Linked DNA regions of Sus scrofa. The main gene of each other region encodes a partner of the protein of the gene in region 3 in a complex. Links are inferred from orthologs where the notes say so. Each region holds a gene or a part of one and is shown on either strand. Other genes may lie near its edges.

Region 1 (10,121 bases), on a different chromosome or scaffold from region 3:
TATCTTCTTGTAGTGTATACAAGTGTAGTGTAGTGTATACAAAATGATAAGCCTTTTTTTTTTTTTTTAGGACTGCACCCACAGCATATGGAAGTTCCCAGGCTAGGGGTCAAATCGGAGCTGTAGCTGCCGGCCTATACCACAGCCAAAGAAACTCAGGATCTGAGCCACACCTGTGACCTATGCTGCAGCTCAAGGCAATGCCAGATCCTTAACCCACTGAGGGAGACCAGGGATCAAATCTGCACCTTCATGGATACCAGTTGGATTCATTATTGCTGAGCCACAATAGGAACTTCTCACATATCTTCTGTTCTCTGGTCAATGTCTCTTCCAAATCCTACCAAGCTCATGATACCACTCACCTCAAAAACACAAACCATCTATCTACTAATTTGCCTCAGTTCTTGCTATTCAAAGTATGCTAGGAGATGAGCAGCATCTATATCACTCAGGAGCTTGTTAAAAAATGGAAACTCTGGAGTTCCTGTTGTGGCTCAGTGGTTAATGAACCTGACTAGCATCCATGAAGACTTGGGTTCCATCCCTGGCCTCGCTCAGTGGGTTAAGGATCCGGTATTACTGTGAGCTGCAGTCAAGGTCGCAGACATGGCTCAGATCTGGCGTTGATGTGGCTCTGGCGTAGGCAGCGGTAGCTCCGATTCTATCCCTAGCCTGGGAACCTCCCTATGCCGTGGGTGCAGCCCTAAAAAGACAAAAAAAAAAAAAAAAAAAAAAAGGAGACTCTGAGGCCCCTACCCAGACCTACTAGATCAGAATCTGCATTTCAACAAGAGTCACATCCACATTAAAGTCTGTGAAGGAGTTCCAGCTCAGTAGGTTACAAATCTCACTAGTATCCATGAAGATGCGGGTTTGATCCCTGGTCTCGCTCAGTGGGTTAAGGATCCAGCATTGCTATGAGCTGTGGTGTAGGCCGGCAGCTGCAGCTCCAATTCAACCCCCAGCCTGAGAACTTCCATAAGCTCCAAGTGCAGCCATAAAAAGCAAAAATGAAGAAAAAAAAAGTCTGTGAAGCACTGGTTCTCACCTATAAGACCTAACAATGCCATTTTATGACAAGTAATTTTCTTTCTTGCTTGCTGCAGTGTGTAGAAAACTAGACAAATAATTTTTTAAATAAGTCTTGCTGGAGTTCCCGTTGTGGTACAGTGGTTAACGAATCCGACTGGGAACCATGAGGTTGCTGGTTCGAGCCCTGCCCTTGCTCAGTGGGTTAACGATCCAGCGTTGCCGTGAGCTGTGGTGTAGGTCGCAGACGCGGCTCGGATCCCTCATTGCTGTGGCTGTGGTGTAAGCCGGCATCTACAGCTCCGATTAGACCCCTAGCCTGGGAACCTCCATATGCCGCGGGAGCGGCCCTAGAAAAGGCAAAAAGACAAAAAATAAATAAAATAAATAAGTTTTATTATCTTGAAGCAAAATTCATCACCTACCTACACATGTAAGTCTAAAAAAAAAGAGAGACAGTATATTTATTTTATGGTAACACAACAGACAACAAACAGGAAAGATTTATATGCATTATATTTCCATATATAAATAAATGTTCAACACAAATAAAAATGTGAAGAGTCACCCAAGTTTCTAAGACATACCTGAGGCAGGTGGTACCATCCAGTTGAGGACCATTAGTCTTTAATCACTCCCACCCTTCCTTCCCTTCCATCTCATTAGTAGAAGGGAATATCCTTTTTTAAAGCCAAGGGAGTCTCTTTTATAAAAGTTCCCTTCCCACATTCCTCCAGAGGCCATAAGCATTGCCAAATCTCACAAAACGACTTTAGAATCTTGACCAAGCATGTCCTTCTAGCTACCACATTCCCCCTCCTTCTGTTGATAGTCAAGCTTATAAACCTCATTTACTCAGCTTTCAGTCACCAACCCATATTAATCTAGCTTTCACTACCATCATGAAAGCTTTCCAAATTGCCCAAATCAGCAAACACTTCTCCAAGCTCATCTAACTCATCCTTCCTAATAGACATTGTTGTTACACATCCAGTCTCCACTACCCCATTGTGCTCAAGGAATCATTTCTCTCCAAGTTGATTAAGGTAAACTGACCCCATCCTGGGCTGATTCTGCTTAGTCTAGGCACATCAGGGCATGGCATTCCCCTAGCACTAGCTATTGGGTCAGGGCCAAATACCTGACCTAAGTTGGTCCAATCAGATTGAAGGGAAACTGTAGTTCAAGCCTGGGAGTTTTATTCTCTCTCTTACTCTAGTGAATGGGAAAGCATGTGTTACTGGCAATCTTACAACCACAAGGAGAACCAGTCTAACTGTGGAAAGCCAAGAAAAGAGATGGGGACCTTGAAAACAATGTTGACCCAGTAAAGTCCACCCTTCCTCTGCATTTTGTGAAAAAAAATTCCTTACTATTTAAGCAGTTGGATTTTCCCACCTGAGAGCATTCTAACATAGCCTGCCCTTGAAACTTCCCTCCCTTAATTGTTTAAACATCACTCTGGTGCTCCTACTTCTACTTATCAGGTTGCTTCTCAAAATCTCTGGGCTCCCCTCTTCCTCATACTCCTCCTTAAATTTTGGTATCCAACAAGGTCTGCTGTGAGCTTTTCGACTCAAAGTACATGTTTCAACAATTTCAGCTCCCTTTATCTTTCCCTTGATACAGAAGAACTGATCTACCAGCACTTCCCCCATGGAGTACCACTGCTGCTGTTCCGTGGCTCATCCACCTGAGGAACTCCTGGCTTTCAAAACTTGCCTCACCTGAAGTCCCCAGGGGTTCATTGCCTTTTTTGTGCCACCATCTTCTTTGGCAGTCTGGTAAGCCCTAGGGACCCCTTCTCAAAATAATGCTTCTAACTGCATTTTATAAATGCCAATTATATTGCAATATAGTTGTTTTTAAAACCCCAAATCTGATATAGTAATGTGTACTTCTTTATTAGCTCTTTAAGTTAAAAAAACCTATTAGAGAGTCTTATAACTACTATAATCTTTTTCTTTTTCTTTTTTTTTTTTTTTTTTTGTCTTTTTGCCATTTCTTGGGCCGCTCCGGCGGCATATGGAGGTTCCCAGGCTAGGGGTCCAATTGGAGCTGTAGCCACCAGCCTACGCCAGAGCCACAGCAACGCAGGATCCGAGCCGCGTCTGCGAGCTACACCACAGCTCACGGCAACGCCGGATCGTTAACCCACTGAGCAAGGGCAGGGATCGAACCAGCAACCTCATGGTTCCTAGTCGGATTGTTACCACTACGCCACGACGGGAAGTCCCATAACTACTATAATCTTAAAGCAGTGATAAGCATAAATATCTTGAGATCTGGAACCACTGTAATGTGATATGAAAATGTCTGTGACATGCATTGGTCCTGCTGACTTCTATTGGTGACTACCACTAGTTTGTGGCTGTAGTAACTTAATTAATTGCTCCCCATGAACCACATGTTCTCGTATCTGTGCTGTTCTGTAACCTCACACCATACTGACTCGGGCCTTGGCCATGTGACTTGTTTTGACATCAGCAAATGCGATATAAGCATGTGTTTATGCACCGGGACTAGGCTTCTTAGAACCCAGTAACCATGTAAGGGAGCCCAAAACAGCCACATTGAGGGGCCCCAGGCCCACTGATATGAGAGTAAGGCTACCTCATAGTATAGCCACCAGTTGAATTCTGTCACTAGAGGATGCCGGCAGAACTGTCCAGACAACCTATAGATGGTGAGAAGTAATAAATCACTGTTGTTTTAAGGTCATTATCTGGAAACTGGTAATTGAAACTGTTAACCTACATTCATAACTGAAAGAAATGCTAAATTTCAGCAGATTAATGAAACTGATTTTTTTTTTCCCTGCCAGAATTTAAAGATCCTCTTAATTCTATCCAGACCTTCTAAGGGGCCAAGAACCACAGCTTAAGAACCCTTGGTAAAACAGAGGAGATGATACTCTCCTTTTCACCACCACAGAACACTGCTGATAACCATATGAAATGATCACAGCATACTCTTTATTGTCGCAACACAGTGTACCCTTTGTTGTTGCAACCCTCAAACTAAGCCAGGCTCCTAGCACATAATAGGTATTCAACACAAATTTATCAAACAAAACCAAGTTGCTTATGAGATCTGTTGTCCTAACTAAACTGTGAGCTACCTGAAAACAAAATAAAAGCAAATACCTGGATGTCACTTCTATGTGCCAGGGCCTCTTACAAATTCTTTACACATACTAACTTATTTATTCCTTATAACAAGCCTACAGGTAAATGTTGTTTCCCTAACTTCACCAATAAAAAAACAGGCTCAGAGAGGTTAAGTGACTTGCTCAAGGTCACACATCTAGAACGTGGCAACTCCAGGAATGGAAGGCCAAACCCACATTCTGACTTTAGAGCCTGTCCCAGTGTACCCAAAGCACGTTGTAGGCACTCAATAAAACTTTTAAGGAGTTCCCGTCGTGGCTCAGGGGTAAACGAATCCGACTAGGAACTATGAGGTTTCAGGTTCGATCCCTGGCCTTGCTCAGTAGATTAAGGATCCTGAGTTGCCCTGAGCTATGGTGTAGGTCGCAGACGCGGCTCAGGTCCCGTTGCTGTGGCTATGGCGTAGACCGGCAGCTACAGCTCTGATTAGACCCCTCGCCTGGGAACCTCCATATGCCACAGGAGCGGCCCTGGAAAAAGGCAAAAAAAAAAAAAAAAAAAAAAAAAACACTTTTAAATGAGTAGTATAATTCTGAGATTTCATTAGCAGTCTTTTATGGGTACAATGCTTCTTGACTCAATTTTGTAGACTCATTTCTGGTAGCTTGCGATTTGTTCTTCATTATAAAAAATATCATTTACTTTTTTTGAAGGAGAATAATGGCTTCATGTTAAAATGCAGATTTTCGAAACAGTCTTCACTGTAAAAGTCTTTCAAAGGACACGAGTTCAAAAACTGTAAAGAAGGGGCTCGACCTGTCCATACTATATAATGTTCACTGGGGAGGAGAAAGTCCAGCTTCTTCCCCTAACCCAGCCGTTCCATTCCCATGCCAGTCTCCCCGACTTCCTGCAGGAGCTTCGCCGAAGGTGACCTCCCCCATTCATACCAGGTTCTAAAACCTGACCTTGCCCGGCACAACCAAAGCCGAACCCCGCGGTGCCCTAAGCTGGCCTAACCCTACTCACGAACTCAAGAGGGCACCAGCCAGAGTGTGGATACTGTGAGGGATACTTTAACTTTTTAAAACATTTTATTCCCGAGAGCACGACCAAAGGGCCCAACCCACCACCCTCGAATCTCCCGCCTCCTGTGCCTCAACCGCAAACTCCAGGCGGACCGGTGAATGACCCTCGGGACCGGGACACAGGCAGCCCGGAGGCGGGAAAAGCCTCAAAGCGAGCCAGTTCTGGTTCCCAGAGAGGCCCAAAAGAGCGCGGGGAGAGCTGCAGGCGGCCGGGAAGGGGCGGTGACAGTTGTGACCCGGCTCGACACTCTCACCTTGAACATGTCGCTGGCAGCGGCGGCTCCGGCGGGGTCACCCGGCCTCGGCCACGCCCACTATAGAGAGGTAACTACGGCGGCCGATTAGGGCCCGATTCCTCCGACCGCAAGCGGGCCGCGGTGCGGGTAACAGGCGTACAGCCAATTCGATCCCGCTAAGGCTTAACTCGGAAGCTTGGGCTGCTAGCAGCGTCGTTGAGCTGCAGCGCGTCGCGCCTCAGGCGGCGAACACAAGCCCCGCCTTCCGGAGGCTCCGCCCCTGCGCCGGCGGTTGCTAGGCGGCGGGAAAGCGCCAGCTCAGTGTGGGCGGCACGCGGGGGCGCTAGGAGGGAGGCGCCGAGCGCAGAGCCGTGCTGGGAATTGGCCTTCGCCGCCGTGATTGGGCGCCAGCAGCGTGGGTTGGGAAGCCTGTGTGCGGAGGCCGCCGGGCGGGGGCGCTCGGCAGGCCTCTGGTGGCTTCGAAAGCCTCGCAGCCGGAAGCTACCGACCTCGGGGGCCTGGATTTACCTCACAAAAGGTTTTTAGTTTTGTGGGGTTTTTTTTTTCACCCTTGTTTAGCCATTTCCAAGATTTTAAATTTAAACTAATTTGCCTTGTCCTTTAGTCTTGAAAGAGCCCGACATTTTTTTCTTCTTTAAAATGCTTAAGCGTATGTTTCTCACAGGGAATCAAATGTTTGTCCTTTAATTAGAGTAGAAATAAGTAATAATGACAAAAATTATCTTATTAACAAGAATAGCAACCACCAACAGCGTTTACTATGTAACTTGCTCTGATGTAAACTCCTTACACATACTCTTCTTTCCAACAACCCAAGTAGGTGGGCACGATTATTATCTCCCGTCAAATACATGAAGAAACCGAGGCTCAGAGAAGTAATATGTGGAAGGTCATACAGAAGGAAAGTGGGAAGCCAGGATTCAAACCTCAGTAGCCTGGCTTTAAAGCCTGTGATCGCAAGTAAACAACTGTTGTAGTGTCTCATACCGGGGTTGTATTTCATGTTTCATTCTGTATTTCATTCTAATCCCGCAGCAAATGTAAGCCCATCCGGGGCAGGCATCCAGAAGATTTTGGGAGTTTGGTGCGGTGTCACTGCTCTCCAGCCAAGATCACTAAGAATACTGTAGTTGAACAAGCTGAGTTCATTTCTCTTTGGTGCCAGGAGAACGCACCCTTGGGAAACGGTGGGGCATCTCAGTAAGAGGGTGTTAGATTTATTCTAGGATTTGGGGCTTTGGTTGGGGGGTTTGCGGGTGAGTTCAGGGAAGCGAGTCCTTGTTCTGGATTGGGTGGTGCTAGGAAGCCAGGGCTAACACGAAAGCCCAGGTGTGGGTGCCAGGCCAGCTCCCAGATGTTAAGGGCTACTTTTCTCTTTCTCAAGAGAATTGTATATCCCTAGCCTTCCCTATACCTAAGGAGAACTATTTAGGAGACTCTGAAGGCTCTGCATCAGTAATGGAATGTCATATGTGTATAAGAGTGTGACTTATAAATGGTAAGTTAGGGCAGAAATTCTTAATTCTGGAGGTACATGAACTTGGGGAAAAATTACAACTTTATTTTCACTAACCTATAACTGAACTTTAACAGTTCTTTAAATTGTGGTGTAGGTAACCACAGTAGTTCAGCGGTACCTATGACTTTGTCATCAGTAGAAAGCACAGATATTTTCATATCATATTATAGTCACAGCAGATTTCTTGAAATATCATTTCTGCTCATTACCACTTCACAAGTACTGTAATTATTAGAGCTCTCATTTTTTATTTTATTTAATGCATAAAGAAGACATTTCTATAATTTTGTTTTTGAAAATATTTTTACAATGATTTCAATATAATTGAAGTCTTTTGTAACCCTATATATTTTAGATTATGGGTTTAAAAAAACATAATTCTTATTCAATATCCCGTGTTAAACCATAATGGAAAAGAATATGAAAAAGAATATATATGTGTGTGTGTATCTGTATGTACACATATATGTGTATAACTGAATCACTTTGTTGTACAGCAGAAATTAATACAACAATGTAAATCAACTATCCTTCAATTAAACGAAAAACATAGTTCTTAGAAGGAGTTTGTCCATAGGGGTCCACAGCACCAAAAGAAAAGATAAAGAGGCCCTGGTTTAGTACAAGACACTAGGCAGTTACTAAGAATTGGAAACTGCTTCCAAATTGGAGTAATGTATCAAAGGATAGAAAATCAGAGGTGGAATCAGATCACTTACTACACATGCTCTCACTTTACTAGGCAAGGAACTGAGCTACTGAGAGATTAAGGGACTTGCCCATAGTCTCACAGATGTTCCGTGATAAAACTAGGATGAAAAGCTTTTAGAAAGCATGTAAAAACCCTCCACTCTTCTAGGCATTGGGAATTTCATAGTTAGCAGGATGCCTCCTGCCTTCAACATGCTTGTTGGGGTGACAGCCAAGAAACAAAATTTTGATGCAATGTGAGAGGTAATGTAAATGAAAAACACATACAGTATTATGGGACCTTGGAGACACCAGTGAGTAGTTCTGTAAAAAATAGAAGGAGGAGAATTTCAAAGAAGAGGCATCAATTACCTCGGGTCCTAAAGGATGAATTGATGTTTACTGGTGGTAGGGAAGTCAATCTAGGTGGAAAAAAATGTCATGATCAGCGGCACAGAATTACAAAACATTAATTTTGGTAAGTTCTTGTTCTCACAGATGGTATAGAAAGGATGCTGATGGAAAGTTGGTATTTTGAGATTTGAAAGAGAGTGAAACTAGATTGTGAAAAGACATAAATGCATTTCTCTTTTTTTGGCCTCGTCCCTGGCATATGGATGTTCCCAGGCTAGGGCTCGAACCCACACCATGGCAGTGACCTAAGCAGTGAAAATGCCAGATCCTTAACCTACTACACCACAAGAGAACTCCTTGAATGCACTTCTAAGGAGTCTAGACTTTAGCTTGGAGGAAATGGGGGTCCCTAAAAGATTTTTTTTTTGTCTTTTTGCCATTTCTTGGGCCGCTCCTGTGGCATATGGAGGTTCCCAGGCTAGGGGTCCAATCGGAGCTATAGCCGCCAGCCTACGTCAGAGCCACAGCAACGTGGGATCCGAGCCGCGTCTGCAACCTACACCACAGCTCATGGCAACACTGGATCGTTAACCCACTGAGCAAGGGCAGGGATCGAACCCAAAACCTCATGGTTCCTAGTCGGATTCGTTAACCACTGCACCACAACGGGAACTCCCCTAAAAGATTTTAAATTGAGATTTTAAGTTTGGATTATTGCTCTAAAAAGTTAACTCCAGCTGTCGAGTAGAGGATGACTAGGAGGTTGAAGACTGGAAACGAGGAGACCGCATAGGCGGCTATGGATAGATCCATTTGTCTTTCCCATATATATATCATATTGTTTTTAGTACAGAAAGAATGTAAGCAACATTAAGAGATCCATGAAACCTTACTTTTTCAAGGGTTCTGGAATTAGCTCAATAATCGTATGCCACTTGAGTCTCATCCAGACAGTGTAATAATATAGATTACGACTTCAAATGTTTAATTTATATACTTTCAGAGTACTTCATTGTAAGGAAAATGAGTCGTTCCATGAAGACGTCAGTTACTGGTGTTCCAAAATCAGAAAATCCAGCCTTGGGAAAAGGTCCCAAAGTACCTTTGTCAAATACTGTAAAGACAAAGGGAAAACAACAGTAAGTAGCTGTCTTTCACCTTGTATCATTTTCCACAACTGGACAGTTTCCATATAGTATTTACCCAGCTAACATCAAACACTTCTTGTTTTGTAAATTAGAGGGGTTTTGTGTGTTTTAAAATTACTTTTGAATTTAAGAATAATTATTATAATTATAGTATTTCATAACTAACAAAGCATGTTAACACACATCTCTTTGATCCTGACACAACCCTGTGATGCAGTCTTATTATTACATTTCATAAGTGAGCAAGCAGCAACTAGGAGAAGGTAATTGATTTGCAAAAGGTTAAACAGCTAATAAATGGCATTGGCTAGTATCGAAGGGTATGTTTCCATACTTGAGGTCTTTTCTATTCAACATCTTATCATCTGCATTTTGCGAGTCAACAGTGGCATTAAACAGGAGTGCCTACCCCCTTCGCATGTAGCCATGTGAGGTGTAATGATGGGGTTCAAAGGGGCTAGTTCTTGGAGAGTGAGATCCCTACAGTCTGCCCGTGTTGGGACATGATGAAAAGTAGAAAAATACTCTGACCTGACTGAGAAGACCCTGGTTCAAACAAAGATCAGAGAAGGGAGTTTCCTTTTTTAGGGCATGGTCATTCACTCCCAGAAGAAAATTGGGCCTACTGTAGCTTCACCTATTGTATGTTCTATTCTCATAGCACTTCAACTAGTTGGATAGTGTTGGTTTTTGTTTTTGTTTTTGTTTGTCTTTTTGCCTTTTTTAGGGCCGCTCCCAAGGCATATGGAGGTTCCCAGGCTAGGGGTCTAATAGGAGCTGTAGCCACCAGCCTACACCAGAGCCACAGCAACATGGGATCCAAGCTGCGTCTGCAACCTACACCACAGCTCACGGCAATGCCAGATCGTTAACCCACTGAGCCAGGCCAGGGATTGAACACGCAACCTCATGGTTCCTAGTCG
Region 2 (9,916 bases), on a different chromosome or scaffold from region 3:
TTACAATGTTGTGCCAATTTCAGCTATACAGCAAAGTGACCCAGTCATACATATATTCTTTTTCTAATATTATATTTCATCATGTTCTATCCCAAGAGATTGGATATAATTCCCTGTACTGTATAGTAGGACCTCATTGCTTAACCATTCTAAATGTAAGTTGCATCTACTAACCCCAAACTCTTTGTCCATCCCACTTCCTCCCCCCTCCCCCTTGGCAACCACAAGTCTGTTCTCTATGTCTATGAGTCTGTTTTGGATTTATATTAAAAATCTTATTACAGAGAAATCTCTAGGCCCAGATGGCTTCTTTAGTGAAATCTAGTAGACATTTAAGGAAGAAATAATGCCAATTTTAAACAAACTCTTCCAAAAAATAAAGAGGAAACTCTTCCCAATTTGTTTTATGAGGCCAATAAAACATTAATACCAAAATCTTAAAAGAAAATTACAAACCAATAACCATCATGGACATAGATGTAAAAAAATCCTAAAGAAATATTAGCAAATGAAATTGAGATATATAAAGAGGAAAATGTATCAGTCTGTTTAGGCTGCCACAACCAAATATCATAGACCTGCTGGCTGAAACAACAGAAATATATTTTCTAATAATTCTGGAGGCTAGAAGTCCCAGATCAAGGTGCAGTAGGGTTGGTTTCTGGACACCATTAAAGAGATAAAAAGACACATCATAGTGTGAGAGAAGATATTAATAACACGTATAACTGCAAAGTGCTTGTAGAAAGTCTTATAAAGAATAGCTATAAATAAATTAGAAAAATGGACAACACAATAGAGAAGTTGGCAAAAAACTTGGATAAGCACTTTATGAAAGATAACATCAAAATAGCCAGTTGAAATATGAAATGGTGATCAATTTCATTAGACATGAGGGAAATGAAAATTAAACTTGAATGAGATACTACTAAACATCCACCTGAATGGTTAAAATAAAAAATGACAATGCCAATTGTTGATGAAGGTGTTGAGCAACTGAAATCTTCAAACACTACTGGTGAAAGTGTAAATTGGTACAATCCCTATGGAAAAATTTTTGACTGCATCTACTAAAGTTGAAAAAAGGCATGCAGTATTATCTAGCAATTCCGCTCCTGTCTTCTGTCCCATGGCCAGTTTCACTAAGGCAAAAAACAGCTGTAAATGGATTCCCATTGAATTCACTCTGGGTCAATCTGATGGTCCCTCACCTCATGCTCATGCTATGCTCTTTTCACCTTGCATCCCAGGGCTCCCCTGTTGACGTGAAAGCATGTGGTGCTATAGACCCACCCAACTATAGACCATCTAAATTGGTGGGTTGGTTAATGACATCCTAGTTACTCACTGTTTAAGACTTTTTCAAACTGGTCTGACAAATCACTGATTCTGACAGTGATCCTTGTAGACTTTTCCCTAAATGGTTGGGAGTCATGCAATTATTTTTTATGCTACTCTCCTATCACATAGCCTTAGTCATAGACAAAGAATGTCTTTATGGTAGACAGACTTCTGAAATGGCCCCAAATGATTTGCCTCCTGGTAGTCAAACACTTTATAATCCCCTCCCTTTGAATGTGGGCTGGAACAAGTGACTCACTTGTAAGAATAGACTGTGGCAGTATGTCACTTATATAAGTGATTAAGCTGCCTCTTTCTAGACTGTCTCTTTCTTGCTGACACACTCTTGTCTTCTTACTTGCTTTGATGGTTTTCTATGAAGAGGTATATAGATCAAGTAACCTAGAGAGGTCCTCTGGCCAACAGTCAATGATGAACTGAGGTCTTCAATCCAACAATCCACAAAGCACTGAATCTTGCCTACAATCACATAAGTGAACTTGGAAGTGGACCTTTCTTCAGTATAGCCTTCAGGTATGACAACAGCCCTGGCCAACAACTTGATTGCAGCCACGTGAGAGACCCTGAAGCAGAGGACTCAGCTAAGTCATGCTCAAATACCTGAACCACAGAACCTTTGAAATAAAAAAATGTCTATGTTTTTAATCCAATAAGTTTTGGAGTAATGTGTTATACAACAATGACTGATACAGCCTTATTCTTGACTTTAGAAACCTTGTAACTGTTTCTTCCATTACTTGGCAGTTGAAAAAAAAATCACTCAATTAGAGTAGCCTACACTCAGTTACTTGGACTTCTCCCTTGAAATATTTATCTAAGATGAGTTTAAAACTGCCTGTCTTCTCTAACCTACTTTTATCTGATTAAGTTCTGTATATGTATTATTTTGAAGCACCATATATTATCTATAGGGAACTACCTCACCTCTATCAAATGCTGTCAATTAATGATTTTAGAATTATCTATTTAAAATACCTACCATCCCTAGTTAATAGGTGAACACATAATCCAAGATGGACCAATCAGGCACTCTTTCTGTGGAATTTAAATTTTGAGCAGTGTAGTAGACATTATTGGGGGGTTTGGTTGGTTGGTTCTTTTTTCTTTTTTCCTTTTTCTTCTTTGTTTCTGCTTCCTTCCTGCCCTCCTTCCCTCCCTCCTTTTTTCCTTCCTTCTTTTTCATTACTAAGACCTAACCCCCTACCATTGGGTGGAATCCTTGATTCTTTGAGTTTTTGTAGGAGGCATACCCTACCTCCCAACCTCCCCAAGAAAAGAAAATATCAGCTATTTCCTCTCTCAACACTTTGACATGGGCATATATTTAGGCTTGTCCAGTGGGAGGCTTTCATATGGGACTTTGAATCTTGAAGGAATAACTGAAATATGCATAGCTATCCTGTGTAGCAACCTTAGCTGTGTTGCCTGCATCTTAGCCTTCACTGATTCCTGCTCACATTTCTGATCCTGTCTTTGGACTTTCTCTTAATTTGGTTAATTGCCTAATATCTTCCCAAATTATTTTATATTTAATTTAGCTAAAACTGCTAACAACTATTGCTTACAACTAATACTTATGATGGATATAAGAAGATTGCACAAAATTGAAAATTGTTAGAACACACACTTTTAGACAGTGAGGCCTGAAACTGATTTCCAATTAGTTTCTTCTATCTAGGTTCCTCTTGCTATCTTGTTTGCTGTCTTTTTAAAGGGATGGTTATTTAGATTTTCTTTTGATTCTGTTATTTATCTCTAATAAGTTCCATTTTTGTTTATATTATCCACAACTGGATATTATTGCTTGCAATAAAAAATGCTGACCAATACAGAGGATGGTATCAGAAATAAAGAGTAGTTCAGACAGAAAGGTGTAGGGATTTTGAATTCTCTTAGGCCTCTAGATCCTCCCAGATAGCCCCATTCAAATATTAGACTATCACCCTTTCTTGCTCAAAGCTTTAAATTTTCACATAAACGACCCATCAAGGTTAGGTATAAATTCAACTGAAATAATTTTAGAAATCCAAAGAATCAAACTTTGAGTTTGGCTTTTAAAAATCTCAGCTTTTTTTTGCCATGAGAAGTAAAGGGACTTTTTTTAGTGTGGCCACCAAAAGTCCTTTAGATTTATCATATGCCTTAAGGTAAATTTAAGAAGTTGCACAAACTTTTCCTCTCATGTTAAATTAATGCCATCCTGACACACTGGCCTTTTTATTATTATTATTATTGCTGTTCCTCCTGTGTAGGACCTTCTTCCCTAAATTCCTTCAGGACTTTTCTCAAATGTCAAGTTATGAGACAGCCTTTCCCTAACCTATCTAAACCAGTAAATTCCCACCCCATCCCATACTGTTTTATTTTTCTTCACAGCATTTGGCACTTTGCAACGTTTACTTGTTTCTCTTCCTCCTGGAAGCTTAAACTCCGCGAGGGAAGATACCACGTTATGTACTTTACTTTGAACAAGTGCCTGGCATATAGTAAATGCTTAGTGATACAGTCTTAGGCTGTATGAACTTGCCCATGTATTGCAGAGGTAACAGGTTCTTTTCATGACTAAACCACTATTTAAGATAGTTGGACTTGGATTTTAAGTCCTCATCTAGACAAATCACTTATGCCTAAAACAACGAATATAATGAAAAGTTCTCCACCCAGCAAAGTAACGTTCAAGTGGACTGTGGAGAATATTAACGGCGTTACCAAGAATAGCGACAATCAACCACATGGTTGAACCTTTTCTCCGGAAGGGAGCTGGTGAGCTGCAGTAGCTTCCCAGAGCCGCACCGGAGAGCTGGGGAAATGGGCGGAGAAAAGGCGGAGCCGACCAGCGAGGCATGGGACTGGGAGGTGCAGTCGTGCGTAGAGCCTAGTTGAACTGTTTTGTTCCTTTCCGCTCTCCGTGTGAAGACCTGGGCGGAGAGGGTCACAGATATGGCGGCCTTTAGGGTAAGTAAAAGGTACCTTAGTTTTTCTGGGTTCCAAGAGTACTTCAGTAACTATAGAAGTGATCCTCCTAATTTCAGAAGGGAGCTCCACAGCTAGAGGTGAGGTGGAAGTGGGGTTGTGAGAGAATTGGCGAGGTCGGGGACTCTTTAACGTTTGAAGCCTCAAGACACCTGCCTCTCCGCTTTAGTTTCCTCAGCCTGGGACGATACTCTCTCCTCAATTCTCTGCGGTCGACCGTTTATACTGCGGCAGAGTGAAAACTGCCAAACGGCTGAGTGAAAATGGCCGGCCGGGGCAACGAGCAGAGGAGACTTGGGTTTGAACTGAAACAAAGAGAAAGGAATCCCGGGCAGTTGTCTGGGTGCACAGGGCGGGGCCTCACGACCCTTTGAAGGACTTTGTTCAAACGTTATTATTTAGGGTGAAAGAGACCAGGATAGAGACATCCCAAGTCTCTGTGTTGAGCGGGTTTGTATTCACTGTTGTTATTCTCCGAGTTTGAATAACAAACCTAAGTTTCTTTTGAGTTCCATAATGGGAAAAGGTGCCTTTACTTCGGAATCTCTGTGCAGGAAATGACTCAACCGGCTGCTAGCTGCAGTTCCCTAAGTAGATTTCATTAGCTGTAGTGGACACAAGTCTACTCTTCTAGTCCATGATTTTCTTTTCTGTGGAAAGGTTCATTTGTGCTATATATTAGATACCAGATCTAAGTGACATCATATGGTATTTGTCTTTCTCTTTATGACTTACTTCGCTCAGTATGAGAGTCTCTAGTAGACTTGTGGTTGGGCGGGGAGGGATTGGGAGCTTGGGGTTAATGATGCAAACTGTTGCTTTTGGAATGGATTAACAATGAGATCCTGCTGTGTAGCACTGAGAACTATGTCTAGGTACTTAAAACAGAGCACGACAATGGGAGAAAAAAATATGTATACATGTATGTGCAACTGGTCCCCATGCTGTACAGTGGGGGAAAAAACATGTTGGGGGAAATACCAATAAAAAATAAAAAATAAATTAAAAAATAAATAAAAATAAAAAATAAATTAAAAAAAATTTTTTAAAAAGTAGTCGACAAATATCAATGAGTAGATGAGTATCTATGAGTAGATATTTGTACCAGGTTTTAAGTATAGAATGCACTGTGCTTGCAGGAGATACAAATATAAATAATTCAGGCTTAGTATCTGTCTCGATTCACCATTCTCAATCCATTTCTGTTTTCAGAATTTAGCTGAATTATCACAACACCCTTCTAACTGGATTGCTGCCTCTAGCCTGGCTTTCATGGCATTTATTTTCCTCTGCACTGCCAGAGTACTAAAATGCAAATCTGATTATGCCCTTCTACTGCTTAAAGACCTTTATTGGCACCCTGTTATCTGCCCTCCGGGGTCAGGTCAGACTGCTTTGTCTAGGACAGCCTACCCTGCCTGGCTTTCCAGCTTCATTTTCTGTCTCTCAGGATATCTTCCAACATCTGTACTCCAAACCTTTTTCATGTCCTTTCTCTGAGCCTGAAGTATCTATCCCATCCTCATCTAGTTAGTTCCTACTCATATTTCATTCATTCACTTAGCAAGGATTTGTGTGCTGCCTTCTCATATGCTAAATACAAAATGCCTTTTCCAGGATAGTGTCCCAGACCTCCCCAGTCTAATTTAAATAACTCCTTTTTGTGCTCCCAGAGGACCTGGGTACACTTTTGCCATAGGACTTACCACACTGCAAATAATAAGAGTATTTACTTGTCAGTTCTACCCTTTTAAACTGTAAGGTACTTGAGGACAGTGATTGTAATATATTAACTCTTGTATTAGTACATAAATGCCAGGTAATGAAGATAAAAGAGATTAAATTAAGCAGTGAAGGTGCATCATACAACAAATGTGATTCAGAGTAGGGGAAGTGCCTGCCTCAGGAGAAGTACAAAGTGACCTGAAGGTTCTGAAGAGAGAGCTCACACCTGGTTGAAAAGAAAAAGAGATCATGAAGGAAGTACAGAGAGAAAAGGACGGGTCAGTGGTTAAAAAGCAAACCTGAATAGTGTGTTGTCACTGAAGCCTAGAGAAGGAGAAAGTTGAACAGTCTTTTGATTTGGCCATTAATAAGTCACTGGTAGCTGCCATTTATTAAGTGCTTACTACAAAGCCAGGCATCATGCTAAAATACTTTGCATGTGTTATTTCGCTTAATTCTCAAGACAACTTTATGTTGTAGATATTATCATCACCATTTTGCAGATGAAAAACTAAGGTTTAGAAAAGTCAGTAGTATCCCCATTTTTTTTTTTTTTTTGTCTTTTTGGCATTTCTTGGGCCGCTCCCGCGGCATATGGAGGCTCCCAGGCTAGGGGTCTAATCGGAGCTGTAGCCACCAGCCTATGCCAGAGCCACAGCAACGCAGGATCCGAGCTGCGTCTGCAACCTACACCACAGCTCACGGCAACGCTGGATCATTAACCCACTGAGCAAGGGCAGGGATCAAACCCACAACCTCATGGTTCCTAGTCGGATTTGTTAACCACTGCGCCACGACGGGAACTCTAGTATCCCCATTTTATACATGAAAAACTTAGGGAAAAAAATGCTTGCTCCAGGTTATACAGCTACTAACTTGAAAAACAAGGTTCGAACACAGGTATATTTCTCTTCAAAGTCCCTGATCTTTCCACTGCTCCTTGCCTCTGAAAGGGAGGTCTTCAGAGAAGACCTCCTTAGTCTTACTCATTAGTCTTCAGAGAAATGTTGTGGTGAGAGGTAGGAAAGAAATCTTGAGATGAGGTAGCAAATTCCAGAAAAGGTGTCTTATTGTTTTAAAAAGTAGAAGACTGTGTGCCAAATAAATCTCAGTAAAACTGGGGGAAAAAATGTCAAGAGACCTGAGCAGGTTTGGAGACAAGGGGAAATGTGCCAAGAACTAGTATAGAAGAAAGAATTAATAATAGTGATCACAGCTGTTTTATGCTATTGAACATTTCCTGTTCTAGGTATTTTGCTAAACATTTGTGAATTTTTGCATTTATGCTTCATAGTGTCCCTATGAGTAAGTGCTATTATTACCAGCATTTTACAGATAAAGAAACTGAAGCTTTAAAAGGTTGAGTAATTTTCCCACAGTCACACAGTTGTAAGTGGTAGAGCTGGATCTGAAATCCCACCATATGAGTCCAGGTCACGAGGCTTAAGCTTGAGGATGCATCTGTGAGGCGGAGGTATAAAAAAGGGTGATCTGTGGTAATTTTGAAGCCCCAGAGTTTTAATAACAAGGATTAAGTTAGAGAGGAGTCCTGAATGTTGGAAAATAACTCTGAAAATAGTTTACATATATTTTGAAATATAAGAGCTTTTTGAGCGGATGTGATTGTGAAACACTGATTTGGAATTAGCCTTGAGAACGAGAACTGTACTGATTTATCCTCCTGACTTCTTCTTAGGCGAGTGTGGTCATCATACTACACCATGGAACCCATCTCCTCCTGACTTCTTGAATCAGAGAGAATGGCTGGAGGACTGTAGTAGTGTTGAAAGCCAAATTTCATTAATGCCAGAGATTGATTGAATATGAGAAAAATTTGGGTTCTGAAAGATACCTGTTTATAATAGAATGCTTAATATTGAAATATGGCTATCATGTATTGAGTATTTCCTTTGTGTCAGACACTGTACTACACTGTTGATGAATATTATTTCATTTAATTCTCAAAAAGTTTTCTATGGTAGGTAATTTTATTAGTTCAAAGAACAGTAGTAGAGCAGTAAGGAAATCAAACCTGGAATAGGGGATTGTATTCAGAGAAAAGTTTGTTGAGTTTAGGATTTTAGCTATTAACAAGTTCTGGGGAATGGTAAATTCTGGGTGTACTGATGGAGTGGTTAACCACAGTGGAGTGAATACGAAGGTCTAAGAAAGTGAGGTCAAAGAACAGTCAGGTGAGGCTTTTGAGTGATTTGCCCACATGGACATTAAAGTCACTCAGAGTTATGGCAGAATTTAGGGTATAGAAGAAGACCATTAACCAGAATCTTAAATCTTTTATGTGATGAAGTAACCAGGAGGCAGGTGCTAAGGATGAGTAGATGAGCCTCAAAGAAGACTTACTTTTCTTTCCTTTTTTCTATTTTTTCTGTTGAAGTGTAGCATACATATGATAAGGTACACAAATCATAAACAGTTTGGTAAGTTTTCAAAAAATGGTCATACTTGTTCAACCAGAACCACCTCCGAAAAAGAACATTACCAGTAGCCCAGATCTCCCCTTTTTTCCTCCTTCACTGTAGATTAATTTTGCCTGTTTTTGAACTTTATGTAAGTGGACTACGCAGCTTTCTTTCTTTCTCTCTTTTTTTTTTTTTTTTTTGGCTTATTAGGGCCTTATCTGCAGCATATGGAATTTTCCAGGCTAGGGGTGGAATTTTGGAGCTGCACTACAGCTCATGCCATCGCTGGATCCTTAACCCACTGAGTGAGGCCAGGGATTGAACCCTCATCCTCATGAATACTAGTCAGGTTTGTAACCCACTGAGCCACAATAGGAACTTATTTACTCTGTTACGCCTGGTTTCTTTTGCCCAGTATTATGTTTATGAGATTTAGCCGTTATGCATGTATATTAGTTCATCCATTCTTATTGCTGTATGATATTCTGTAAGATGAATATATCATGATTTATTTATCCATTCAACTATTTATGGACATTTCAATTATTTTCAATTTGAGCTATTAACAAATTATGCTTTTATGAACATTCTTGTGTATGCCTTTTTGAACACATTGTGCATATTACTGTTGAGTGTACACCTAGGAGTGGGATCGCCAGGTCATAGGGCATGCAGCTTTGGTAGCTACTGCCAGATAGTTTTCCAAAGTGGTTGTACCTCAAAGGACAGTCATATTTCATTTCAGCAAGGAGCAAAGAGAGTAGACACAATGCAGGGGCATTTGGAGTTTGGGGGAGTAGAAGGAAGTTTGGTTAGTGGAGAGAAAATGCAGAGCACTGTAGGGATTAGAGATGATAGGTGACTCAAGAATTGTGTTTTGGGGCTGGAGCCAAGGGTGATGGGGATGGGAAGGAACATGGACAACATAGACCTAAAGGTTTCAGGATCCTTGATAATACCAGCCATATATTCTTTTGTGTCAACTTTAGTCCTTGTCTCTTTCCTCTACTTTGTTTCATGTAATTGATACCAGAAAATAGTTGGAACGTAACAAAGTGAAGTTCATTTTCAGTGTAACTTTGAAAATTATTGCTTTGGAACCCTTAAACATACTTGATATAAGTTCCAGGATGTTGCTTTATGCCATAAAGTGAAAATGATCTGTACTTTGCCTCCTCCCACACCCATATGACTGAACTAACTCTTCCCTGAGATGCCATCCTCACATATGGCTATTAGGTGTTCTGTGAACCTCATTTAATATGGAAATAAAAGATTACTTGACGTGGACCCTAAAATTTTTACACAATAGGCTCATGTGAGTCAGTATTTCTTAGTTTTAGCTGTGCATTAGGATCATCTGGGAAGCTTAAAAATGCCTGAGCCCCACCTCAGATGGGGCCTTTTAATGTTTTAAAAGCCCACCAGTGATTTAG
Region 3 (10,019 bases):
GTTATTCAGAAGTAAAGAGGCTAACAGCCTGCATTTCAGAAATCTCTCAAGATCCATGGCAGGTAGATATTGCTGAAGGGTTAGGAGACTGTCCCTGTGCTCTCAAATAAAAATGGTTTGAAAATTCATCAAGGCCAGAGGAGCCATTCGGGAGAGATGAGAGATGGGGATGTTTGCGCCTGTCTAAGGGTTAGAGAGGAGAAATGAGCCTCTTCTGACTTGGGCTCTGTTTGTCAAAGATGATCACTCCAAACCCAACACAAAGGCAATCGAAGAGCCCTGGCGTCCTTGCAGGGCTTGAAAGTAGACAAGACTGGGGCTTGGTTGGGTTGACCTCTCACTCCCTGGCATCCCTCCTTCCATGCCCCAGGTACCACCCTCAATATTTCAGCCACTTTATTCTGATGAGTGTATAATGAGGAGAAAAAAAACATAAAAATGAAAAAAATGTAACAGAAGAATGTCTAGGAAATGGCAGAGAATGGCCTTTTGGAAACCTATTATAAATTTGTCGAGACTTTGCTCTGGAATCATCTTTGTGCCAGAGGTACCAAGGGATCTTCTTGATGCGTAGCCCACGTATAAAATTTATTTTAACTATGTGTTAAGCAGATTGCTCATCAGAGTCCACCCTGTGACACAATGTGGCACAGCCTATACAACTTATTGTGGAAGTTCCCATTGTGGTGCAGTGGTTAACGAACCCGACTAGGAACCATGAGGTTGCAGGTTCCGTCCCTGCCCTTGCTCAGTGGGTTAAGGATCCGGCGTTGCCGTGAGCTGTGGTGTAGGTTGCAGACGCGGCTCGGATCCCGCGTTGCTGTGGCTGTGGTGTAGGCCGGTGGCTACAGCTCCAATTCGACCCCTAGCCTGGGAACCTCCATATGCTGCGGTAGCGGCCCTAGAAAAGACAAAAAGACAAAAAACCAAAACAAAACAGGGAAAAAAAAAAAAACCCAAACCCCACAACTTATTGTAGACAAGGAATTAGCAGTAAAGGCTACTATTAAGCCTCAGGATTTTACTAGATGCATGGGTAGTGCAGCCATGAGTTTTCCCTGAGCAGTGATGGGAGGTAAAAGGGAGGCGATGGGATTTGCAGCTTTGCTGTGGATACTTTCAAAGATACAGAGGCTCATTGTCATACCGTACTTGTTATAATGCCTTGTAATTATTGCTGACTTGTTTCCTGCTATGTTGGGTTTTTTAATCTCTTCAAGGGTGCAGTCCAAAATTCTTGTTTTCGAATATATCACATAAGTGCATTCATGCATGCCCAGCCCCCATCCCAGCAATGCACGCGCGCGCGCGCGCACACACACACACACACACACACACACACACAGACATTCACACTGAGGACTACTGTTTTAGGGTGGTGTTGGTTTTCTATGATTCTATATACAATAAAAATTGGGGAAGGCTTTAGGGTTGATGTCCTATTACAGTTTGTCAAGTATGTTTTAGTCCATATCTTTAGAATGTCCTTATATTGATGGTACTACATAAGAAGCCCTCTTCAGAGATTTTAATTGGTTCGCTTATAACTATGGCAACTATATGTCCTAGATTTTCTAGGATGTTTCTGATTTCAAGGACCGATTTAATTGTCTAAATATACAAATAACAGAGCATGAGCTCCATTTGCAGCTCAGAAAACATGATCATTATATTTATATTCTATTTCTACACAGACTCTGAGAACGGTACTGTGTGGCTGAAATGCTACTCAGAAGAGCTGAGCAAGAGCTACCAGGAACAACATGCTGATTAGTTTTTCTAGCTGGAGCCCAGGAACAGGTTTCTCCTCCCTGTGCTTTTGTTTTTACCCTCTCTCACCCATCTCTTCCTTCAAGCCCAACCAGTATGTTAGGGAGGGTCAAGAAAAGTAGTGGAAGAGGCATCACCAGAATTTTGCCTTTTGCAACTTTTTGTTTAATGTTGGAATTGAGGAGGTCCCATCGTGGTGCAGCAGAAACGAATCTGACTAGGAACCCTAGGTCACGGGCTTGATCCCTGGCCTTGCTCAGTGGGTTAAGGATCTGGCGTTGCCTTGAGCTGTGCTGTAGACTACAGATATGGCTCAGATCTTGTGTTGCTGTGGCTATGGTGTAGGCCTGCAGCTGTAGCTCCGATTGGACCCCTAGCCTGGGAACCTCCATATGGTGCAGGTGTGGCCCTAAAAAGCAAAAAAAAAAAGTTGGGATTGAAAAATCAGAAACCTTCTTTTGGCAATTCATTTGTGAGGGTGATTTGGATGTCTAGGTTTTTTTTTTTTTTCTTTCTTTTTTTTAAAGAATGGGCATTAGGAATGATTGAAATTTTGACAGCAAGAGCATGTTTGTTTGAGCTCCCGCTGTGGTGCAATGGGATTGGCAGTGTCTTAGAGCTCTGGAACACAAGTTCGATCTCTGGCCCAGCACAGTGGTTTAAGGATCTGGTGCTGCCCCAGCCTCAGCATAAGTCGAAACTATGCCTCAGATCTAATCCCTGGCCTGGGAACTTCCCTATGATGCGGTGGGGGGGGGGGGAGAAAACAAAAAGCATTATTTATTTGCAGCTTTAATTCCAAAAGATGTGACATGGTGGGAAGATGAGAAGTCACTCAGGATGAAGGAATTGGAAGGTGATATTGCTTGATGCCTAAGCTAGGATTGGTGAAGAATTAAACCACTGCTCAGTTCTCCACTCTACATCCAAGTAGACCATTGACATCCAATGTTTTTACTTAGAGTGCTGGCTTCTTGGCCTGAGACTGCAGAGAATATTCTGTTGTGTTCTTGTATATACTGGAGTAGGTCTCACATGAATAGGACGATTCCTTGGTAAGATGCCCTAGAACCTGGGAAACAAGACACAGCTGTGCTTCAGGAAGACCAGGAGTTTTGATTGAACTTGACGTTATAAAAATTGCAGTTAGGAGTTTCCATCGTGGCCCAGTGGGAAGTATTAATAATAGTAATTACTAAGTATTAATAATAGTAATAATAGTAATAGTGGGAAGTAATAAATTCAATACTCTGCCACTGACCAGAGTTAGAGGTGAAAAAGACATAGTCTGTGCCCTACAAATTTCTACAGGAAAAAATCAGCAAATAATTGGAGTTCAAAAATGTTAATACATTTTTGTGTATACCTTTGCCATGCTGTTTTGTGGCTGGCTGCCTTTAATGTTGAAAAGGACTCTCTGAGGATAATATCATCGCTAACGTAAATCCTAAAGAGAGTACATATGCCTCTGTAAGACTAAGGTCATATGGGTAAACTTACATGTCAGAGAGTATTTAGCAATAAAATTTTGAAAATACATATGTAGATAATTTAAGCATTATTTATGTAACTTGTAGAGGTGAAATACTGACCTAGAAATAAAACTCCTCAACTTTGTTGTAGTTTCAATTCCTCCACTAATTAATGCTGTATTTGTCAATCACTTTCCTCTACCTCCTCCTCTTACGGTCTAATATAAGCTAATGTAATCGAAGTGGAAGGAGACACAGAAAAGTGAATGCATTGCATGCAAATAATTAATTTTTTCTGCTTTCTCACATGGAGATTTGAAAACCATAGTATTTAAAATTTTATTTTACGAAAAAGAAAAAAATGCATAGCTCACGAAATAAAGCTATAGGCCAAATACAACGGCGTTTTGTTCTGTGGTTACTTGCAAAACTAAAATAAAGACTACACTTTGCCTCAGGGATTTGTTCACAGGGATCTAGGAATGGTTGCATTAGGAGAGTGCACCTCCCTTAAGGAACTGTGAGTTCCTTTAGGAACGAGGTTGTATCTTTCAACTCCTAGAATACTACCTTCAAAGTGTGCTTTCTTAAACTTCCTTGTAAGTTGCTAAGTTAGATGTCTCTTCTGCGGCAAGACCACAACTCCCAGAAAGCCATGTTCTTACGGCGCTCACCGAATAAAGGCGAGAAAATCCCAGCACCCATCGCGCCAGATGGAGACTACAATTCCCACTATAGCCAGGGGCTCCGGAAATCTGTCGAACACCACCTGTTGCCATAGCATCCGGGTCTGCACCAACCAATCCGAGAGTCCTTGTCCAGTAGAGGCGGGCCGTTTGTATTTTCGGCCAATAAGAGGCATTTTTGTTTTGGCGCGTGACCGGAGGAGGCGGGAGCTCAGGACCGGCGCCTTCTCCTTGCTTCTTGGGGTCGTGGCCTTGCTCCCGCTGTGCAAGGCGAGAGTCCGGGCGCGTCCACGCGCGTGTGTGCGCGTGGGACCTTTAGAGTTCGTGGGTCCGCGCTAGGTCTCTCTGGGGGCAGAAGCAGAAGCTATGGGCGGGACGGCTAGCACTCGTCGGGTCACCTTCGAGGCGGACGAGAATGAGAACATCACCGTGGTGAAGGGCATCCGGGTGAGTGACAGTGGGCGGGCGGAGGGCCGGCCCTTGGACTCGGACCCCTTACCTCTGCCTTCTTTGGGTCCCGCTCAGCCTGGTTTTCCCCGTCTGGCATCCCTAGTCTTTTCATGCCCGAAGCCGAGTTGCTTGCGAAGAAGTTTGAAGTTTTTCAAGACTTGGGACATTCATTCAGAGATATTTCCTCGTTGTGTGCCAAGTGCTGGGCACTGTGCTGGAGCGGCTGGGGGGATGCTAGATTGACCTAGACCCTCCAGGGGCTCAGAGTCCAGTCTAGACTGTATTGCTTAGTAGTTGTGGAACTTTATTTGAACCCCTGCCTTACTGTACTCATCTGTGAAATGGGGCTTGTCTTACTTCTCCTGGGTTCAGGACACACACCCTGCTTTTGCATTGCCCACATCACTTCTCTGTGGTTGAATTGGCGTTTTAATGAACCCTTCAACTGCTGTCTCTCATTTAGTACTCCCACTGACGGGGGACGGCACTCAGTCCCTTAACACACACCTTAGATTTTCTGCCCTGGCTTGGGTGAATTCTGGTTTCTCCCTCCTTGCACTTGACATCTTGTCTTTCCCAGGCGCCTTCTCTGTTAGCCTGCCATGCCTAAGTTTTGGACTGGGCCCAGTTGCTTCAAGAGTAGCGTCCGCCAGCCCGATAGGACTTGAGATAGGATTGCAAGTTTCCATACCACTAGAAGTAGTACAGTCAGGTCTCACTGAGACATTGGAGAACATTTTTAAATGCCCTTGCGTATGCCTGATCCATAAACTGAAAACTTGATTTTTCTCTAGGATGTCAGTATACCAGCACTAACTTCATTAACACGGGCTTCCGCAGCGCCAGAATTGGGAGCGTCACATTTTTGGAAGTAGGATACCTGAGCCTTGTAAATAAAGCAATTTGACTTAAGGAAGTTTTATACTGTTTTCTGTTTTTTTTTCCCTCTGGTATTACACATCTCGCATAAGTAAATGAGTAAATTATTTTTTGCATTGGTTACTAGGAATTAAAACTTCTTAAATATTTAAGGTGTTAAAAAACTTCTTACTTTGGAACTGTTAACTTGAGAAGAATTTAAGTTTTTTCTAGAAACTCAGGCTTTTGAACTCAATTTTTGGTCTTTGACCAGCATTTTCTTATATTAATTGATGATGGGTGGTACCATGGCTTGTAGTAGAATATCTGAGACTGCATTCTTTGTGTTGTGTGGTTTAGTTGGTACTCTTTGGAGTAAAATAAACATTTCTGTAAATTCTTGGTTTGTGCAGAGATTTGTTTAATCTTGCTTTTAGGCTTTGAAAGTTCCACACCAGAGGGTGGAAAAGAAATAAAAGATAAAAGAAAAATAAATTTTGGGTGAGAAGACATTGACTAGAAAAATGTGGAAATCCATGTTCTCATTGCTCTAGTACAGGCACAGTGATGACAGCAAACTAAAAGAGATATGGGCCACAGCACAGAGATTTATATCAGGTATTAGATAAAGTTAAATAAGATAAGTGCGAAAAAGGGTTGATAATAGATTAAATGAAGAGATTGGGAGTTCCCGTCATGGCGCACCAGAAACAAATCCAACTAGGAACCATGAGGTTGCGGGTTTGATCCCTGGCCTTGCTCAGTGGGTTAAGGATCTGGTGTTGCCATGAGCTGTGGTGTAGGTCGCAGATGTGGCTCGGATCTGGCATTGCTGTGGCTCTGGCGGAGGCCGGTGGCTACAGCTCCAATTAGACTCGTAGCCTGGGAACCTCCATATGCTGCGGGTGTGGCCCTAAAAAGACCCCCCCCCCCAAAAAAAAGCGATTGGCTCAAAACCCCTTTTAAAAAACTTAAAAAATTTTTTTAAAAAGAAAAGAAGCTTTGGCCACCGAACTTGGTGGTTTTTCTTTCTCATAGAACACATTTTATATTTTTGAAATTCAGGCACACACCATGCTGATTTTGACCTCCATGCTTTGCTCTTCTTCAGTTATACCTTTCACCTGGAATGCCCTTGCATCGTTTTCCCTGTTGCTTCAGATCCTTTTTCAAGGATGATTTTCAATCTCTGAGCTTCAGTCTTCTTACCTGCAAAGGGTTTGAGTCTATCTCTGAGAGCTCTGATCTCTTCCACTTCTGAAATTCTGTCAGTCTGGTGGCACTCTTAAGTTTCTTGTAGCCACACTCAGCCTCTTGCACTTTCCCCTAAAAATAACATGCTCTTGAATTGTTGAGTACTCAGGGGTCATTCTGATTTCTTTGAGGTCATGGTCAAAAGAACATCAATTTAGAGTTAAACAGAACTCAGTTAAATCTCACATTAGGCATTTAACTAGCCTGCACTTCTTTGGTTATATTTCCTTATCCCAAAGGGGAATGTCATCTCTTCTCTTGATTGTGGTAAGATGAAGTAAGGTATTTAAAGCACTTGGCACTTGGAGATTTTTTTTTTCTTTTTCTCCCTCCTCCCTTCCTCCCTCCCGTCCTCCCTTTTTTTTAATGGCTGCATCTGTAGCATATGGAAACTCTGTGCTAGGGGTTGAATCAGCTGTAGCTGAGGCCTATGCCACAACCACACCAATAGCGGCTTTGAGCCACATCTGAGACCTTTGCTGCAGCTTGTGGCAATGGCGGATCCTTAACCCACTGAGCAAGGCCAGGGATCGAACCTGCATCCTTACAGAGACCATGTCAGCTTCTTAACACGCTGAGCCACAACAGGAACTCCACATTGAGTTTTAACAAAAGGCAGCTGTTATTAATATGATGGAATTCCTCCCACACCTGATGTTCTAAGATTCTTTGGATGTGCTGTGTACTGTGGTGGAAAGAGCATGAACTTTGGAGCCAGGCAGACCTTAGTTTGACCCTAGCTTTGCCTCTCACTAGCTTGTGGCCTGGGACAAGTCACTTTCATTGTGTTTCCCTGTTGGATATGTGGATAATGCAACAAACTTTTGATACTTTTGTATCAAGTACCGCTTGTGAGGACTTGCTATGTAAGCATTTCCACAGTGATTAGTACTTAAATGAGTAGTAGCTGTTATTGGAGCTGGTCAAGGGGATAGATACCTAACCTTACATGAACTGAAAATAATAAAAATAAGAGCATATTGTGTTCCTACATGTGTACCTAAGGGGGTGTGGACTGGGGAAGGGGAGCCCTGAGTTCTGCAAACGATTGCCTGTGTGACTTTTTTTTTTGTCTGTGTACTTTGCAGATTTTTTTTTTTTTTTTTTGGTCTTTTTTGCTATTTCTTGGGCGGCTCCTGCGGCATATGGAGGTTCCCAGGCTAGGGGTTGAATCGGAGCTGCAGCCACCAGCCTACGTCAGAGCCACAGCAACGCGGGATCCAAGCCGAGTCTGCAACCTACACCACAGCTCACGGCAACGCCGGATCGTTAACCCACTGAGCAAGGGCAGGGACGGAACCTGCAACCTCATGGTTCCTAGTCGGATTCGTTAACCACTGCGCCACGACGGGAACTCCTTTGCAGATGTTTTTAAGCTGACCTTTATATTTTTCTTAGGTCAAAAAAGTCCTCTTGTTTCTCTTGTAGCTTGGGGAAGGATAAGAAGCAATCTTAGTATCATAAGTGAGCCACAGTTTTTAGCTCAGTTGATTGAATCACCGTGCTGTTGAGGCCCGATTTCGGTGTTGAATTGCAGATAGGTTTGTTGAACTTGGCTGAGGAAAGTGTTCCAGATTTACCCAGTTGTCTAACATTCATGCCGTCACTCATAAGAGTAAGCGTGTGCCAGCAATGCGGTAGATTCAGTCACTGCTGGAAAATCAATTTTGTCTTCCACTGATAAGGATAATAATTTCATCTTCATTTATGTTAATATATGAAGAGTGACATTTAGTAAGCAACATAAGGCTTTAAGTAACTAGGTTGTGTTTATTAATAGATCATGTTTTCTGATGTTTTTGGCCCAGGTCCTCAAACAGGTAGCAATTAAAGGACCTACTTACACTTTTAAGTTTAAAGTTTCTTCTCACTTACCAGGTGTCATTTATAAGGGGACTGCTGTCCCCCCTCCTTTTTTTTTGTTGTAGCTTAATTTATTTATGATATTACATTTTTCCTTGTCAACTGTTAACTCTCCTTGGGGTGGGTCTCTTCAGCCTTTGTATGATGTCTAACAGTCCAGAATGCTTTATGTTCAAATTTCTATTAGCATTAAGAATTAATCCTTATAAGCAATGAGATCCTGCTGTATAGCACAAGGAACTATATTTAATCACTTGTGATAGAACATGATGGAGGATAATGTGAGAAAAAGAGTATATATATATATTTATGTGTATGACTGTCGCTTTGCTATGTAATAGAATTTGACAGAACACTCTAAATCAACTATAATAGAAAAAATAAAAATCTTAATCCTTTATTTTCTCCACTATCTATATTTTTTAATCATTAGAGCTTTCCGCTTTTTCATGTTGAATATTATTGGGATAAACTACATGAAAATATATAGAAAAATGTTCAAATATTTCAGAATATATTTTTTAGGGCATTAGTAAAGAAAGTATGTCTTTAAAAACTCTACAATACTCCTGAAGATACATCTTTTGGAGCAGTGGGGAAAAAAGCCAGATTAAAAGAAAGGATGAACTCCAATACTGTTTATTTCATGTATGTAATGCATATATATTTGATGATCAAAAAGAGAGAGATCATTATTTAATAAGTTGATAGCAAACCCAAGGTTTTGTTTTTGTTCTTTTTTAAAAAAAGATCTATTCTTTAAGAGAAGAATATTTAAAAGACCTTTGCTTTAAAATCTCTATAAATCTACACCCAAGAATGACCTTTATGATAGCAGGAGGAAAGAAAAAAACAAGGCCTTTCTGCTCAAAATATCTTACCCACCCTGACCTGAAATTCTCACTGGGAAATGCCTCTCCACCATGCAAATCTGTTGCCAGAAATTAGTGACACATTGGACTGGTGGGAATGAAGCTGGGCTGCCTCCTTCCATCTTTGCTCACTAGAAAGATGGATCCTTGGGCCACACCCAGTTCTACCTCATCAGAAATTGGGATTTGCATTTTCAGCAGACTCTGGACACCAAAGCGCTACCTTAGACTGTGAAAAATTAGAATGGGATAAATGAATTATTTGTTCCTTTACAAAGCTCCTCCCCCAAGGAGACAAAGGAGGGAGCAGTTTTATGATGATGCTTGGTGTCCCTCCCTCCTTTATCCTTAGCTATTGACAGCTCTCCCCTTTCCACAAAATAACCTGCATTCTAACACCTGATTCCAACTTTGACTCTGATTCCATGGGTTGGATCAAAGGCCATGCTCTTGCCCTGCCCTCCTCTCCAAGTGTAAAATAAGTTTCTTGTGATAGAAAGACCAAGCATTTTGATGACTCGTATTACATGTGCTTAATAGGCTTTTTCTGAGCACCTGCTGTGTCTGCTTAGCGAGTGTGCCTTGCTCTCAGTCTTTCACAAGTTTATCTGAAACATCAAAGCTGTGAGTGAACTCTTCCAGAGCAAATGTCAACTTCAATAAGTAGCATTTTCAAAGTAATATTTATCATGCTTTCCAGGCATAAACTAATCTTTGCAACTGCCCTTGAAGTTGCAAGCCGAAATTCGCAGGAGCCAGTGTGGTAGTAAGGATTCTTACGTGGAACACAGCGA

What was found. Proteins that work in one complex are often made in the same cells at the same time.
Region 1: CHCHD3 (region 3) and APOO share a complex: the UniProt entries of both Homo sapiens proteins name them as parts of the mitochondrial contact site and cristae organizing system (MICOS) complex. The link is inferred for Sus scrofa from reciprocal best matches to the Homo sapiens genes CHCHD3 and APOO.
Region 2: CHCHD3 (region 3) and APOOL share a complex: the UniProt entries of both Homo sapiens proteins name them as parts of the mitochondrial contact site and cristae organizing system (MICOS) complex. The link is inferred for Sus scrofa from reciprocal best matches to the Homo sapiens genes CHCHD3 and APOOL.

Annotation. Positions count from the first base shown.
Region 1 is NC_010461.5:20,012,040-20,022,160, forward strand, and holds the start of APOO (MICOS complex subunit MIC26), read right to left. Parts: upstream 5,746-10,121; 5' UTR 5,494-5,745; coding exon 5,485-5,493; intron 1-5,484. UniProt on the Homo sapiens protein: Component of the MICOS complex, a large protein complex of the mitochondrial inner membrane that plays crucial roles in the maintenance of crista junctions, inner membrane architecture, and formation of contact sites to the outer membrane.
Region 2 is NC_010461.5:68,277,610-68,287,525, forward strand, and holds the start of APOOL (MICOS complex subunit MIC27), read left to right. Parts: upstream 1-4,171; 5' UTR 4,172-4,302; coding exon 4,303-4,317; intron 4,318-9,916. UniProt on the Homo sapiens protein: Component of the MICOS complex, a large protein complex of the mitochondrial inner membrane that plays crucial roles in the maintenance of crista junctions, inner membrane architecture, and formation of contact sites to the outer membrane.
Region 3 is NC_010460.4:16,048,509-16,058,527, forward strand, and holds the start of CHCHD3 (MICOS complex subunit MIC19), read left to right. Parts: upstream 1-4,130; 5' UTR 4,131-4,294; coding exon 4,295-4,375; intron 4,376-10,019. UniProt on the Homo sapiens protein: Component of the MICOS complex, a large protein complex of the mitochondrial inner membrane that plays crucial roles in the maintenance of crista junctions, inner membrane architecture, and formation of contact sites to the outer membrane.